Linked DNA regions of Callithrix jacchus. The main gene of each other region encodes a partner of the protein of the gene in region 3 in a complex. Links are inferred from orthologs where the notes say so. Each region holds a gene or a part of one and is shown on either strand. Other genes may lie near its edges.

What was found.
Region 1: CHD4 (region 3) and MTA1 share a complex: the UniProt entries of both Homo sapiens proteins name them as parts of the nucleosome remodeling and deacetylase (NuRD) repressor complex. The link is inferred for Callithrix jacchus from reciprocal best matches to the Homo sapiens genes CHD4 and MTA1.
Region 2: CHD4 (region 3) and MTA3 share a complex: the UniProt entries of both Homo sapiens proteins name them as parts of the nucleosome remodeling and deacetylase (NuRD) repressor complex. The link is inferred for Callithrix jacchus from reciprocal best matches to the Homo sapiens genes CHD4 and MTA3.
Region 4: CHD4 (region 3) and MTA2 share a complex: the UniProt entries of both Homo sapiens proteins name them as parts of the nucleosome remodeling and deacetylase (NuRD) repressor complex. The link is inferred for Callithrix jacchus from reciprocal best matches to the Homo sapiens genes CHD4 and MTA2.

Annotation. Positions count from the first base shown.
Region 1 is NC_133509.1:140,327,948-140,331,299, forward strand, and holds part of MTA1 (metastasis-associated protein MTA1), read left to right. Parts: coding exon 1-167; intron 168-390; coding exon 391-480; intron 481-1,638; coding exon 1,639-1,791; intron 1,792-1,924; coding exon 1,925-1,960; intron 1,961-3,352. UniProt on the Homo sapiens protein: Transcriptional coregulator which can act as both a transcriptional corepressor and coactivator. Acts as a component of the histone deacetylase NuRD complex which participates in the remodeling of chromatin.
Region 2 is NC_133515.1:72,129,500-72,133,228, reverse strand, and holds part of MTA3 (metastasis-associated protein MTA3), read left to right. Parts: intron 1-1,638; coding exon of another isoform or gene 1,639-1,676; exon of another isoform or gene 1,677-1,760; intron 1,761-2,736; coding exon 2,737-2,888; intron 2,889-3,709; coding exon 3,710-3,729. UniProt on the Homo sapiens protein: Acts as a component of the histone deacetylase NuRD complex which participates in the remodeling of chromatin.
Region 3 is NC_133510.1:20,780,534-20,784,262, reverse strand, and holds part of CHD4 (chromodomain-helicase-DNA-binding protein 4), read left to right. Parts: intron 1-234; coding exon 235-435; intron 436-620; coding exon 621-758; intron 759-1,029; coding exon 1,030-1,151; intron 1,152-1,279; coding exon 1,280-1,453; intron 1,454-1,775; coding exon 1,776-1,917; intron 1,918-2,007; coding exon 2,008-2,139; intron 2,140-2,249; coding exon 2,250-2,367; intron 2,368-3,729. UniProt on the Homo sapiens protein: ATP-dependent chromatin-remodeling factor that binds and distorts nucleosomal DNA. Acts as a component of the histone deacetylase NuRD complex which participates in the remodeling of chromatin.
Region 4 is NC_133511.1:119,870,832-119,875,268, reverse strand, and holds the start of MTA2 (metastasis-associated protein MTA2), read left to right. Parts: upstream 1-1,423; 5' UTR 1,424-1,801; coding exon 1,802-1,829; intron 1,830-2,578; coding exon 2,579-2,646; intron 2,647-2,998; coding exon 2,999-3,092; intron 3,093-4,437. Other genes in the region: EML3 (echinoderm microtubule-associated protein-like 3), read left to right, coding at 1-77, 350-480, 578-781. UniProt on the Homo sapiens protein: May function as a transcriptional coregulator. Acts as a component of the histone deacetylase NuRD complex which participates in the remodeling of chromatin.

The DNA.
Region 1 (3,352 bases), on a different chromosome or scaffold from region 3:
GAGCAGCGGGAGCCCCAAGTTTGCCATGAAGACCCGGCAGGCCTTCTATCTGCACACGACGAAGCTGACGCGGATTGCCCGGCGGCTGTGCCGTGAGATCCTGCGCCCATGGCATGCCGCGAGGCACCCCTACCTGCCCATCAACAGCGCGGCCATCAAGGCCGAGTGTGAGTCACCCTGACACCCGCTTACGCTGTTCCGACAGGTGGTGGGGAGGAGCAGCAACCTTGGGGCCCAGCCCACAGCCCCGAGGGGAGTCCTGGACGAGGGAGCCCCATTTCCTTCTGGTGCTGGCATGGCCGAGCCCCGTGAGGGCTCCCTGGTCAAGGCGCAGGCAGGGTCCCGTGCTCCCTGGGGCACCACACCCCTCACGCTGTGTGGTCCCTGCAGGCACAGCGCGGCTACCCGAAGCCTCCCAGAGCCCACTGGTGCTGAAGCAGGCGGCGCGCAAGCCGCTGGAAGCTGTGCTCCGGTATCTCGGTGAGCAGGCCGGGTGCGAGGAGGGCTCCCGGTGCTGCCTGCGGGCAGCTTCTGACCCAAGCTCACGCACGGGTGCTCCCAGCCTTCTCTAGGCGGCATCTCCTGGACAGCCCCCCAGGGCCTGGAACCGTCCTTTTGGGGTACTCTGCACTGTGCCAGCCTCAGGCAGACCCACTGGGACCCAGGCTGCTCTCTGCTCCTGGGGCCTGATGGGGTTCAGGCGGAGTGGCTGCCGCCCCATCTTCTGCAGGGCCAGCCTCCTCAGGGCACACCCAGGGGGCTTCCCTGCCAGCCTTCCTACCCTGGTTCCTGTGTCCTGATCGTCCCTGGGGCCTGAAGGTCTGGGTTTGGATGGGGTACACCCATGCCTGTAATGCCGGGAGTACACCCCGAGCAACGCCCACACCACAGGGGCAGCGCTTGAGCCTCTGCAGGGCCTGGGCAGGGGGAGGGGCACACCTGGCCTGCAGCCTCGGGCGGGGGTTCCCTTGCCTTTGAGGTTCTGAGGACACCCGAGAATCTTAGCCAGCTACCCTGGCCCAGCCAGAAGCAGCCTGAGGGGCCGGGCCAGACGTCAGTGGTGGTGGGGGGCGGCTCACCAGCGTGCTGGGCTGGAGTGGGCTTGTGCGGCCGCCCTCCCGACACAGGGGTGACTGTCCTGGGCAGGACATTCCAGAGCCCTGAGCTAAGTGTGCTCTGCACACTCAAGTGGCTTTGGCATTGCCCTGTTTAGGGTCATGGGCTCCTGTCCTGTGGGAAGAGGTGGCCGGTGTCAGGGCTGGCCCTCAGCAGCTGTGTCCCTGGCTAGGCTGGCCGGGTGGTCGGTTCGCAGTCTGAGCAGCAGCCAGCCTGCTTAACAGGCGTGCTGTGCTCACGGCCGGTGTCTGGACCCTGTTGGCTGGGGCAGAGGGGCCTGGGCGCTGCCAGGCAGTCTCGCTGCTCCCTGGAAGCCCTGGGTGCAGGATTGGCCTGGGCATGCCCCCTCGGAGGGCACTTAGAGCTCCTGGGCCCCTGGTTCTGTGACGACCCCTCCACATCCACCCCAGTCAGGATGGGGCCGAGTTCCTGGTGGTGTCCCGGAACCACGAGGGCTGGAGGCTGCCCACCCGCCCCCTGCTGGGCAGAGGTGACCTGCTCTGCCTGTGTCATTCCCGGCAGAGACCCACCCCCGTCCCCCCAAGCCTGACCCCGTGAAGAGCGTGTCCAGCGTGCTCAGCAGCCTGACACCTGCCAAGGCGACCCCCGTCATCAACAACGGCTCCCCCACCATCCTGGGCAAACGCAGCTACGAGCAGCACAACGGGGTGGATGGTGAGTGGCTCCCTCGCCCGGTGAGTCCGGGCCTGCCCTGCCCGGTGAGTGTGGCCCTCGTCACCCACCCGGGGCGACCGCGGTGCGTGCTGATGCTATCTTCTCTCCCTCTCTCCTGCCCCGGCGCTGCCAGGCAACATGAAGAAGCGCCTCTTGATGCCCAGTAGGGGTAAGGCCTGGGGCCACGGGCGGGCGCTGCGCCCGTGATGCCTGTACTGTGCTGCTGAGTGTGTCCCCTCGGCGGGCGGCCCGGGGCCCATGCTTGGGGCAGTCCATGGGAGCCAGGCCACGGCCCAGTCCCCCCACTCCTCCCAACGCCACTGGTCCTTTGTTGAGACCCCCCCCGCCCCCGAGCCCAGGCATCTGGCCCTCAGTCCCCTGGCCCCACGCCCTGTCAGTGGACTGTCCTGGCATGTGTGGCCCTGTCGCCCTGCTTGCGCTGTCTGCCATCGCGCTGTGACCGCCCGCATGCTGCCAGCCTCAGCTTGTGGGCCGCCCATGCTGTGCCTGCAATCCTTTCGTGCGCCTGCCTGTGGGGGAACAGTGGGGACAGTGAGGGTGTCTGGCAGGCTGTGGGCAACTGAGCTTGCACCCAGGCTTGGTGCCTTCTATCGGGTGATGGATTCGGTGCTCTGTGCCAGTTGGTTGGATTAGGGGCTGTGGGACCCCAGGCCCCTCAGGGAAGAGCAGATAGGACCAAGCCCAGCATGGGGAGGCCAGGTGTGTGGGACGCAGGTGCACCGAGGCCTGGGCCGGGTGTGCGGGTACTGGGCCTGCCAGTGTGGACATGCCTGCAACCCCTCCCCAGGCAGCTTTCACTCAGAGTGTTGGCCAGGGCAGCGGGGCCAGTTTGGGGACCTGGAGGCGGCTGTGGGCAGTGGCCATCTAGGACAGCCAGCCTGTCCCCCCGGAGCTGTCAGGTGCCCTGGCAGGCATGTCCTATGGGGTCAGCCCATGAGCTGAGGTGCTGGGTGGGCCTGAGGTCAGGTGTTGGGCTCCCTGGTCTCCACCTGTCTGGACACGCACATCTGGCCTGTCCCCGCTGCCTCCATCTACCAGCCTTCAGTGGTGTCTGTCCCGGCCCCAGCCATCTGGTATTGGGGCTGCCCCCGTGGGCTAGTCCTGGCCACACCGGCCCAGGCCAATACACTCTGGGCTGGCTTTCCTTGGCTGTTCCTGGGACGCCTGCTGTCGGGAACATTGGTAGAAGCAGGAGGGAGTCCTTGTCAGCAGGCATCTTTGAGTTTCGTTGTTTTATAAAAAGCGGATAACCAGCAAGTTAGATCAAAGCCGATGTGTTCCCATTGAACTTCCAGCCCCAGCCGTGCCATGCTCGTGACGGAGTGCCAGTGCACGCCGCCTGGCTGGGCGGGGCCCTGGGCTTAGAGGGCTCAGCCACAGAGGGAGTGCCTGTCCTGACATGTGGGGCCAGGACCCCGGCGCTGGAGAGGGGCCGGCTGGGTGGAGACAGCTCCCGGGGGCGTTGGCACAAAGCGGGTGGGGTCTCTGTCCAACCTGGGTAGGTGTGAGCCGAGCTCGGGCAAGGCCCTGCCTGCCCACT
Region 2 (3,729 bases), on a different chromosome or scaffold from region 3:
GACATTGGATTTTCTTTGATGTGCTCTTGTGGTTTTTGAGTATTTCATAGCAGTGTTTGCTGAATTGTGTTCAGAGTTGTATTAGCTTCGCAGAAACTGTGGTCCCACAATGCATACCAAATCCACCTTTGGAGTTTCTCAGTATACTTTGAAAAATTAAAGCTCCAACTGATTCTGTAGGAAAGGCCTCTGTGTGGATAAGCTGCTATGTATAACCCTTAGACCATGTTCCCTCGGGGCACCAGTTTGGAAAATGCTATTCTGTGATACTTGCCTTTGCCGCAGGATCCCACTGTATTTATCTATGCTGGCAGTATTTGCCCAGGCTGTTAAATGGGGTTGGTGAAGTGAATTGTTAGGTAGTTGATAGACTTCATGTGTTATTTTAAATCTCAAGCAAGGATACAGTCTCTTAATGGGGTATTGATGATATTATCATCTATGTTTCCTTCCAGTCAAGGTAGCCTGGGTTGGGAGAGGGAAGGAAACTAATGTTTATTGAAAACCTATGTGGTGCCCTGTTTTGGGTTCTTAGCAGCTCTTTGAGAGTACATGTAGCCTACTACCTCCAGGAAGGACTAGGAATGAGGGACAGCTGTGAGTATGATTACACTGATCCCAAGGAAGGTGTGTGCCAAATTGCTGAATTCATAGGAATGGTACATGGGGATGTCCATTTTTTGCAGCATGGGAGCACAAAGAGAAACCATTTATGGAAAATTAGATTTCTTTAGGTCAGGCCTTTACATGGATAGCATCATAAATACCTTGAATTGGAAATTCTTGGATTTTGAAGTTCATGTATATTTATAGGAAAATAAAAAGAATCCTGCAGACAAATGGTAGTGGCTTAATCTGTCTTAATTTAACTTGCAGGCTGGGTATGGTGGCCCAAGCCTGTAATCCCAGCACTTTGGGAGGCCCAAGGTGGGTGGATCACCTGAAGTCAGGAGTTCGAGACCAGCCTGGCCAACATGGTGAAACCCTGTCTCTACTAAAAATACAAAAAATTAGCTGGGCATGGTGACACGTGCCTGTATTCCCAGCTACTTGGGAGGCTGAGGCAGGAGAATTGCTTGAACCCAGGAGGCAGAGGCTGCAGAGAGCCGAGATCACACCATTGTACTCCAGCCTGGGTGACAAAGTGAAAATTCATCTCAAAAAAAAAAAAAAAAAAAAAAAAAAAAAAAAAAAAAAATTGGAAATTCCTTTCGCACTCACATATATCCCCTTAAATGATTATTCTGTTATTTTTATGTATGCATGATAAATAAGCTATTAAATGATACCTACTTTCCAATTGAGTTTAAGGAGAAAAGCATTTATTCACTAATTGTTAAGATGATGTGCATGATTAGCGTGCATAACAAAATGTATGTTTTAAGTGAAATTTTACATTTAGAATTCAAAATAGATTAATAGCTTAATGTTTAAGATTTAAAAAATTTATATTTAAAAAAAACAACTTGACTAATTCTATGAGTTCTAAATTATAGGAGGAAATGCTTTTAGGCTTTACACAAATAAAAGCCTAAAATAATAATTCTCCAAAAATAATACATGATGGGTATACAGTGCTGTTCCCAATAAACATGAATATAACAGTCTCTGTATTTTCTTTCACATTTGTTTATGAAGTGTTAGTGGACATCTTGCTGTGCTGTTTGAACACTTGAACAGTCTGATAAAGGTAACTTACAGGTCAGAGAAGTAATATTTTAAGGCAAACCTACAGAATTACAATTTTTTATGTACCTAATTAACTTACCCTTTCAACCTCAGTGTTTTCTCTTAAACTTCAGATCTATTGTGGGTGTACTTTAAATGTTACATGTCAGTAATTTAAACTATAAAACAAAAACAAACACAAGCTTGTAGCATTCAGCCAGCTGTTAAATCATCTGAGTTTTAGGCCTCAAGCATGCTGTGATGTCAGCTGCCCATGCTCACTTGATAAGGATTTAGAGTCTTGAAAGGGATTCTGTCTATAAAGGGAGATTTAAAATAAGGATTTTGCCTATGAAGTAAAGGAGTGCAAAACAGAGACCTGTTTCTTTCATCTTTTCTCTGCCTCTCCCTCTTTCTCCTGCTCCCTGACTCTCTCCTCCTCCCCTTCTCCTCTGTCACCCAGGCTGGAATGCAGTGGTGCAGTCACAGCTCACTGCCGCCTCAACCTCCCAGGCTCAAGCAATCCTACTGTCTCAGCCTCCCTAGTAGCTGGGCCTATAGCTACTACCACCACCACACCTGGCTGACAGATACCTGTTTTTATTAGAGTCCTGACTTTATCAATGGGACCTCCCTGAGTAGCTTAAATAATCCCTGGAGTGGTATCTGAACCCTAGGTTTGGAAACCTGGATTTGTTTTTTTTGTTTTTTTTAATACAACTAATATCTTTTTTTGAGAACCTATTTCCAGAAACATACACAGTAGAGCATTTTTAATCAACAAAACAAAAAATTCCTCAGCAGCACAATGCATAATATAGGTTGCCTCACCTAATAGCTTCTCTTATTAGGGCTATAACCACTTTATATATAATAGAAATAAGTTGGTTTAATAAATTCTGAGTATTAAAAAACACACAAATATACTACTACGTTTGAACTTGTAAGCTGGGAAAAATAACATTGTAAACTAAGGATGACAAGTATTTTTAAAATATTCGATTATTTTGTGTTGATGTTACAAATTAAACAGCATTTTAAAAAATTTTTGTTTTTCTTCTGCTTTAGCTACCCAGTCTCACCAGTGGTATTCTTGGGGCCCACCTAATATGCAGTGTAGATTATGTGCAATTTGTTGGCTTTATTGGAAAAAATATGGAGGCCTGAAAATGCCCACCCAGTCAGAAGAAGACAAGTTATCTCCCAGCCCAACTACAGAGGTACAGTAGTCTTTTGAGTGTTGAAAAATGCCATGTTTTTAAATGGCTTGAATATTCCTTGGAAACAGAAGTACAGTATAAGATAATTAGAAAATGAAGAAAGCTACCTTTATAGCCAGACACAGCACTACAATATTCAGAGTGGGTGTGGAGAGAAGCAGGGAGAAATTAAATTTTGTCAGGTATTCAGAATATTGGTCTCAGACAAAAGAACAATGAGTGTGTTAGCGTAAGTAGAGAGCTTACAAATTAAATGTTTAATTGCTTTTGAAAACAGTTTGTAACCTTTACATACTGTTGAAGACTAGTCTTTCTACATAAAGTCATAAATGCAAATTGAGCATTTTTCTTCCTGTGACTGTTTTGGAGGGACAAGAAGTATGGCTTTAATCTTGAGGTGAACAACAGTTTCAATGTGATTTTGGTAAAACCCTCATGGATTGAAGATGCCAAGCACCTGTGTTTACCAGTGGGCGACTACCCTTTTCCAGTGCTGATGGGCTCTCAGGACTTCTTAATTAAAATAAAAAATTAAAAAACTATAGTTTAACCCTCTTGGAAGTTTTTTACTATTTATTGTGAATGTGATATTGGATTCCTGTACAGCAGTACAGTATTCCCCACAGTTCCCTTCTCTGCTCCCCACCTCTTTCCCAAAAGTGCACACTTTAATTCTCTCTTTTAGAGGTAGTGCACCAAGTGACATTACAGATGCTTCAAACAAGATTTAAAAGTTGCGCTTTTCTCTGAGTGTGATGCAAATGATAATGTGTTTGGGAAAGTTCATTTCTTTGAGTGTTTGTTGCTTTCCGATTTTGCAGGACCCACGTGTTAGAAGTCA
Region 3 (3,729 bases):
AAAAAAGTGTAGAAAGACTTAATGGAAGAGATAAGACTTGCAGTTCTGGTGGGACCTTGGCTTTTTAGAAAGGAGTGGGCAGGGCATGTGCATAGAGGAAGGTGAGAGCAGGAGCAGCAGTGCAGGCTCCAGTCCTTGGCTTAGCTTGAGGGGGCAGCAGGGTGGTGGGTGTTCACTGGGATTGCAGTGTGCTGGGGCCCTCAGTCCTCACTCTCCTTCTCTTTTTCCTCCAAGGGTCATTCCAAAGGCCCCTTCCTAGTGAGTGCCCCTCTTTCTACCATCATCAACTGGGAGCGGGAGTTTGAAATGTGGGCTCCAGACATGTATGTCGTAACCTATGTGGGTGACAAGGACAGCCGTGCCATCATCCGAGAGAATGAGTTCTCTTTTGAAGACAATGCCATTCGTGGTGGCAAGAAGGCCTCCCGCATGAAGGTATCTCAAGGGAGGAAAGCCACTCTAGAGAAAGAGTTGTGGCTTCTGGCTCAGTTTACCTCTTTGTAATCTGGTCTCTGAGACAAAAGGGTAACCCTGGGAGGAGGAAAAAGTTCCATTGGTCCCCTGGTTGTGCTTACACCAGAGGAGCTGACTAGTAGTGACCAAGTTGCGTTCATGTGCAGAAAGAGGCATCTGTGAAATTCCATGTGCTGCTGACATCCTATGAATTAATCACCATTGACATGGCTATCTTGGGCTCTATTGATTGGGCCTGCCTCATCGTGGATGAAGCCCATCGGCTGAAGAACAATCAGTCTAAGGTGAGGGCTTAGGGAGGGACATTGGAGCACCCAGTTTGAGTTTTTTCTAGATCTAATTCATTAAGGGGAAAACTTGTAGGAGGAGAGGAGAGGGAAAAATTGTCTCTGCCTTCCTTCCTTATATGTGACAGCCCTTGGTGGCCAGGCCTGTAAAAAGAGTGTGAGGAGTGGGAGGCTTAACTATTGGGCAGTGAAACAACTTGAAATTTTGCAGAGATTTACCAGAGTCCTCTTTTCATTGGATTTCACCTCTCTCCATCTGCCTCACCAGTTCTTCCGGGTCTTGAATGGTTACTCACTCCAGCATAAGCTGTTGCTGACTGGGACTCCATTACAAAACAATCTGGAAGAGTTGTTTCATCTGCTCAACTTTCTCACCCCTGAGAGGTTCCAGTAAGTGTGTGCTTATCTGTAATCAGCTCATAATTATGCTTCTCATTCTTCCTGTTATCCATTTCCTGTATCACTTTCCTTTCTTCCTTTCTCCTTTTCCAGTAACTTTTTCCTTTTTCTTTCTGAAGCAATTTGGAAGGTTTTTTGGAGGAGTTTGCTGACATTGCCAAGGAAGACCAGATAAAAAAACTGCATGACATGCTGGGGCCGCACATGTTACGGCGGCTCAAAGCTGATGTGTTCAAGAATATGCCATCCAAGACGGAACTAATTGTGCGTGTGGAGCTAAGCCCTATGCAGAAGTGAGTTGGGAGGGACAGAAGCAGACTCCATTTAGACATCTGCCAGTCTGCAGTGTTTCCTATTCCTCCCCTACTCATCTTCAAGGCATCTGGTGACAGGAGCAAGCAAGGCCTGAAGAAACCTGATGCTAGGGCGCTGGAGCACATAATTCTTACTTATTTTAAGTTATACCTTCCTTATTTAAAATGGTGGTGGTGGTGCTTGTGTGTTAGGTGTCCTTAGTCCCAAAGTGGGATGTGTTCGAAGAAAGATCTCAGTTACTGGGACTCCATTATTGAAAGGCTCTCGAGTCTAACCCGCGTTTCTACCTTGCCCACGTAGGAAATACTACAAGTACATCCTCACTCGGAATTTTGAAGCACTCAATGCCCGAGGTGGTGGCAACCAGGTGTCTCTGCTAAATGTGGTGATGGATCTTAAGAAGTGCTGCAACCATCCGTACCTCTTCCCTGTGGCTGCGATGGTAGGTGTGCCACCTCTTCTTCCTCCCTGGGTTGGGACTCTTCATGTGGGCTTTCTTTTGATATTTTTTCTTCTTTGCTTTTGTCCTCAGGAAGCCCCAAAGATGCCTAATGGCATGTATGATGGTAGTGCCCTAATCAGAGCATCTGGGAAATTATTGCTGCTGCAGAAAATGCTCAAGAACCTTAAGGAGGGTGGACATCGTGTACTCATCTTTTCCCAGGTACCATGTGGGCTGGGAGATTTAGGGAACAGTCATAGACAACCCTCAGTGATATAAGGAAAGGAATTAACATCTGACTTTTCCATAGTTAAACCGTGCTCCTTTTACAGATGACCAAGATGCTAGACCTGCTAGAGGATTTCTTGGAACACGAAGGTTATAAATATGAACGCATTGATGGTGGAATCACTGGGAACATGCGGCAGGAGGCCATTGACCGCTTCAATGGTGAGAGAGAAGGAGTTGTTTCGTTTCAGTCATCCTTATTTGCTTACATTTTGGTATTGTAACTTCTTGTGCATCTCCTTTTCAGTGTAGTTCTTTTGGGGCTTTGTCAGTTGAGATGGAAGAGTAAAGCTTTTGAATGTCTCAATTGGAAGAATGTGTTACACTATTCCTAGGAGAATTTTTTTCCTTTGGGGTCTTTGTTCTTTCTGTTAGAAAGGAGAAAGCATTGCATTTTGAGGGCGAGCAAGGGGTCAGGACTTGCTCAAGCTCAAATAGCAAGTTATTGGCAGACTTGGCTGCCTTGGTAGACACTACTAGGTTTGTTTGTTTTGTTTTATTTATTCAAGATAGGGTCTCACTCTTGTTGCTGAAGCTGGAGAGCAGTGGCATGATCATGGCTCATTACAGTCTGGACATCACCCTAGGCTCAAGTGATCCTGCTGCTTCAGTCTTTCGACTAGCTGGGGCTATAGGCATCAGCCATTGCTCATAGCTAATTTAAAAAATATGTTTGTAGAGGTGGGGTCTTGCCATGTTGCCCAGGCTGATCACAAACTTCTGGTCTTTAGCAATCCTCTTGCCTTGGCTTCCCAAAGTATTGAGATTATAGGCATAAGCCACTGTGCCCAGTATTGCTGCTACTACTTGTTTTAAAACTTTTCATTTTAATTTTAGACTTAGAAAAAAGTTACAAAATGACACAGAGTTCATGTGTACTGTTCAACTAGCTTCTCTTAATAATAGCTTATATAACTGCAGTACAATGATCAAAACTAGGAAATTAACATTGGTATTGTACTATAAATGACCTTAAATGAGGGTCACGCATTTTTCCTGCTGTCCATTTTCTGTTTCAGGATCCAATCCCAGATCCCATGTTCCATTTAGTTACCATGTTTCCTGCTATCTGTGACATTTCTTCACTTTTTTCACCCTTTTCTTGTATGATACAGGTGATTTTTCTTTTTTTTAAGATGGAGTCTTGCTCTGTTGCTCAGACTTGAGTGCAGTGGCATGATCTTGGCTCATTGCAACCTGTGCCCCCTGGGTTCAGGCGATTCTTCTGTCTTAGCCTCCTGAATAGCTGGGATTACAGGCATGTGCCACCACACCTGGCTATTTTTGTATTTTTAGTAGAGATGGGGTTTCTCCATGTTGGCCAGGCTGGTCTTACCTCAGGTGATCTGCCTGCCTTGGCCTCCCAAAGTGCTGGGATTACAGGCATGAGCCACTGTGCCTGGTTGATAGAGATACTTTTGATGAGCATTGGTCAGTTATTTTGTAGAATGTCTCTAAGTTTGGATTTGTGTGATGTTTTCTCTTGATTTTATTAGAGATTTTGGGTAAGAATGCACAGAGGTG
Region 4 (4,437 bases), on a different chromosome or scaffold from region 3:
GCAGCTGAAGAATCGCTATGAGAGCCGAGACCGGGAGTGGGCTACGTACACCTGTGTGCTGGGCTTTCACGTCTACGGTGAGCAGGGGCGTGGAACCCTGCTGGAGGGGCGGGGGACAAGGTGGAGCCCAGTTTGGGCTCGAAACGCTGGGCGTGTGTCGTTGGGTGGGAGTCCAGAAACCTGAAGATCCAGCCCAGGAGGCCCCCCCCCCCCGGCCCTCGGGACCGGGAAGGCTTGCCTGGAACGCGGCAGTGGGTGGCCGTGGCTGCCGGAGCGCCTGAAATAGTGCAGCTCTGGGCCGTGGGTGGCAGTGGGGAGGAGGTCGGGCTGAGGCCGGCCGCTGTGCTAGGCGTGTGGCCGGACGGCTCCGATGGGACCGACATCAACTCCCTGTGCCGCTCCCACAATGAGCGCGTGGTGGCGGTGGCTGACGACTTCTGCAAAGTGCATCTTTTCCAGTACCCGTGTGCTCGTGCCAAGGTGAGGCCGCAGGGGCCTCCGGGGCGGGGTGGGGCGGGACAGGACGGGTGGGCCCGAGGGCTCCGCCGCCACCGCAACTCCCTTCCCTCCTGTCCAGGCGCCGAGCCGCATGTACGGTGGCCACGGCAGCCACGTGACCAGCGTCCGGTTCACGTACGACGACTCGCACCTCGTCTCGCTGGGCGGCAAGGATGCCAGCATCTTCCAGTGGCGAATGCTGGGAGCAGGGGGCGCGGGGCCAGCGCCCGCCACGCCCTCTCGAACCCCCTCCCTGTCCCCCGCCTCCTCCCTTGACGTTTGATCTCGGCCTGGCGGACCAACTGGCTGAAGGCGTGGACCCGCCCCGCCCCGCCCTAGTTCCTTTAGACCCGGGGCTGACTCCTCGACTGACTTCCAGACATTCCCGATCGCGCATTTCCCTGGAGGGCGCGAACGGCGCCCCTGCACACACTGTTTAGACCCGCTGGCTGAGCTGGGCAGCCCCAGCCTAGGCCTTGACTCCCGCTGCCTGCTGAGGGGCAATAAACGAGAACCAAAGTCGCCTCCCGGTGCTTTTGTGGGGCGCTGCTGGGGGCCTCCGGGGCCTTGTGGGGTGGGGACGAAGGAAAAGAGGCGTGCGGAAAGGGTAAGGGAGCGTAGACCATTTATGCAAATAACAGGCAAAGCCGCTTGCAAATAACCTGGTTAAGCGCGAAGGCGCGCGAGTCTTTCGGGGCGGCAGGAGAAGCTGCAGGGACCCAGCGAGTACACAGTTAAGTCCGACTTCTCTCCCGCCCTCGGAAAAATGGGGTGGGTCCGAGCTGCGACGGAAATAGCCGAGTGCCGGGCCGCTGTTGGCCGACAGGAGCCGAACCTCTTCCGGAAGTAGCCGATCTGCGGGGTCTCGCTCTACGACCTAAGCCGAACGGTGGGCCTTGTTCTCCGGATCGGCCGAAGGTGTTCCGGAAGGAGGCGAACCCCGAGGCGGGCCGGGCAAGCCTTCCCTGCGGCCGGCAGATCCCAACGACTAGTGGGACTCGGCGGGGGCGGGGGTAGCTGGAGCTTAGCTCTGGCCTGGCAGGAGCCGAGCTCGTTCCGGAAGAAGCCGAGCGGACCGGGGCCGGCCTCAGCGTCCCGGGAGTGGGGCGATATCTGCCGCGGCGACAGCGCGGGCCGGGATGAACCGCGACGGCTGAGGCAGTGGAGGTGCCGGCTGCGCGGGCCCCACTGAGACTCCCTTGAAGCTACAGCCCCACGCTCGGGGCTTTGCCTCGAGCCGAGCCCTGCCTCCGCGAGCCTTCCGGACCCCTTTGTGCGGCCGGAGGCGGCGGCGGGAACGGCCATGGCGGCCAACATGTACCGGGTGGGGGGTGAGTACCGGGCGCAGGGGTGCGGGGCCCGGGGCGGGAGATGTTGGGGTCGGGACCGGAGGGACTCCGCACCTGGTGGCGCGGGGCGCCGCGTCTGGGGCAGCGTGGACCCGAGCGCGGACCGGAACCGGAACCGGGAGACTGGGAGCGGGGAAGTGAGGGTGCGGGAACGGCGACCGCGACGCGGCAGGGTGCCGAGACTCCCGGAGAGAAGCTGCGGGCAGCCCCGACGGCACTCTCAGGGCTGCGTCGGGGGCTCCCCCGGGTACAGAGTGGGCTTTGGAAACTGGTTCAGAAGGAGCTGACCTGGTAGGGAGGCGACGCGAGGGGCTGGGGCGACGGCTTTGCCACCGCGGGGGAGCCGCCCGGAGATTTCCTCTTCCCAGGCGTTATTGTGCGCCTCGGTTCGAAAAGGTGGGGGCCCAGCGCCAGCGTGAACAATGACTTCGCCGCGACTGGGCTGCAACTCATAGCTGAGTTGTGGGGACGCAGGGGAACCCCTGCTTCTTGCCTGTTCCTTAAGGCTCACTTTTCTGTGAAGGATCCGATTTTAGAACTAGGCGTGGTGGGGATGGGGAACATCCTTATTTTCTCTTAGTCTTTCCACTTTCACATCTCAGCGCCCTCTCTACCTGGATCTTTATCTTCTTTTGGTCCACTCAGGCCAACTTTCTCTCCTACTCTCGTGCTCTGTGTCTCCCGTCTCGTCCTCTGATCTTCGTGGTTCTTCCCCCTCCCCTCCCTTACAGATTACGTCTATTTTGAGAACTCCTCTAGCAATCCTTACCTGGTTAGACGGATTGAGGAGCTCAACAAGGTGAGTGGAGCAGAATCCCTCTCCCTCCCTCCCCCAGTGGTCTCTTTCTTCTGAGGTTTCTAACTTCTGGTGGAAGAGAGGACTCTATACTAAGTATCTATTCATATTCATTCATTCATTCATTGGATGTATTCAGGAAAGGCTATTGAGAGCTTAGCAGGAACTTACTATTCTGTCTCTTGGGGGCAAAGGAAAGGGATTTGGAAGTCTGTCCTTGAATGTAAGTCTTTACTCCTATTTTCTTGGGATTTTTTATTTAGGTTCCTCTGAAACTTACTGTTATTTGTCTCTGTGCATTTCTGTACCCAGATGATCAATTTTTCACTGCTACATTTTTTTTTTCTCTCCTTAGACTGCAAATGGAAATGTGGAGGCAAAGGTTGTCTGTCTTTTCCGGCGCAGGGACATTTCTAGTAGTCTCAACAGCCTGGCTGATAGTAATGCCAGTGAGTACCTTCATCTCTTTCTTTTCCCCCTCCCCATGATCTGAGGCCTGGGCATGTCCCTGCAGGAGTTTCTCCTGGTAGCATGCCCAAGGCAGAGGTGTGAATTTAGGGGTGGGAAATACCTGGTCTGAGGAGGGAGGCCTGTTTTTACACGTTGGGGTTGGAAGCAGGGTGGAGAGATTGTGATAAGGAAAGCTATAATATGGTTTGTGTATGAGTGTAAGAGAGAGATGATAATGTTTATTTAGGGGATGAGGATGAACTTCAGAGAAGCAGAATGCTTTTCTAAAGGGGGACAGTTTGGTGTACATTAGAACAGTAGGTGGTGACTGAAGGTCAAGGTGAAGAGGAAGAGATTGTTCTGAGAGGCCCGCATAACAGGGAAGTAGGCTCATTTTGTAATCACAAGGTGGTGGGAATACCTGGAAGCTGGAAGATGGTAGGAAAGTTTTCTTGTACTTTTCATTTCTTACCTCACCCATTTCCCGGCCCCCACTCCATTTTACATCTTTCCCTTTTCATTTTGCCCTGTCTTCATTCTCTTTAAGTTCTCATCTTTTTTTTTAAAAAAAAAAAACAACACAAAGAAACATGTTTTCCTCAGCTTCTTTTTCCTTTCCTGCTTTGATTTTCTTTCTCCTTCCTTTTGTTCCACCTTTCTAAATTTTCCTTTTTCAGACTGTTCTGGGTGAGAAGGGGTTAAGAAGGATCCCGGCTTACCAAGTTCCTTGGCCCTTTAGGGTTTCCAGCCCCATCTGGCAGGGGCTGACCTTGGCCTTGTCCAATCAGAATGAGTGTTGGGGGTGTGGTCCCCCTTGCCTTAGCACAGGGTTTCCGGAGCACATAGGCCAGGGGTGGAGCCTACCGCACAACCCCCCTTCTCCCTGAGGTTGGGAACAATGCACCAATGAGCCTGGGCCTGAGGCTCTTCTGTCCCCTCCCACGTTGGTTGGCGCCTAGCCAGGTTAACCCCTTCCACAAGGTTTCAGGGCAAGCTGCAGCTCCTTGGGGAGGAAGGTGTTGCCACTAGCTTGAGAGGTCTTGTCCTTGAAAACCCCAGGAACTATTATTAGAAAATGAGGGATAGTTAGGGCCACATGTGATGTTTTAGAGCAGAATCTCCTGAAATTGAAAATAACTGTAAATAGTCTTGTGTGATACTTTTTCATTTTACTGGGTTCCTGGATCTCACGCTGGTTTAGCAAGAAAGAGACAAGTGTGATGTTGTTGCTGGCCTGTTGTGGACTTTGAGTGGTGTCTGAGCACTGGCAGCTGGGTAGGGATGTATTTCTTTTTTTTTTGAGATGGAGTTTTGCTCTTGTTTACCCAGACTGGAGTGCAATGG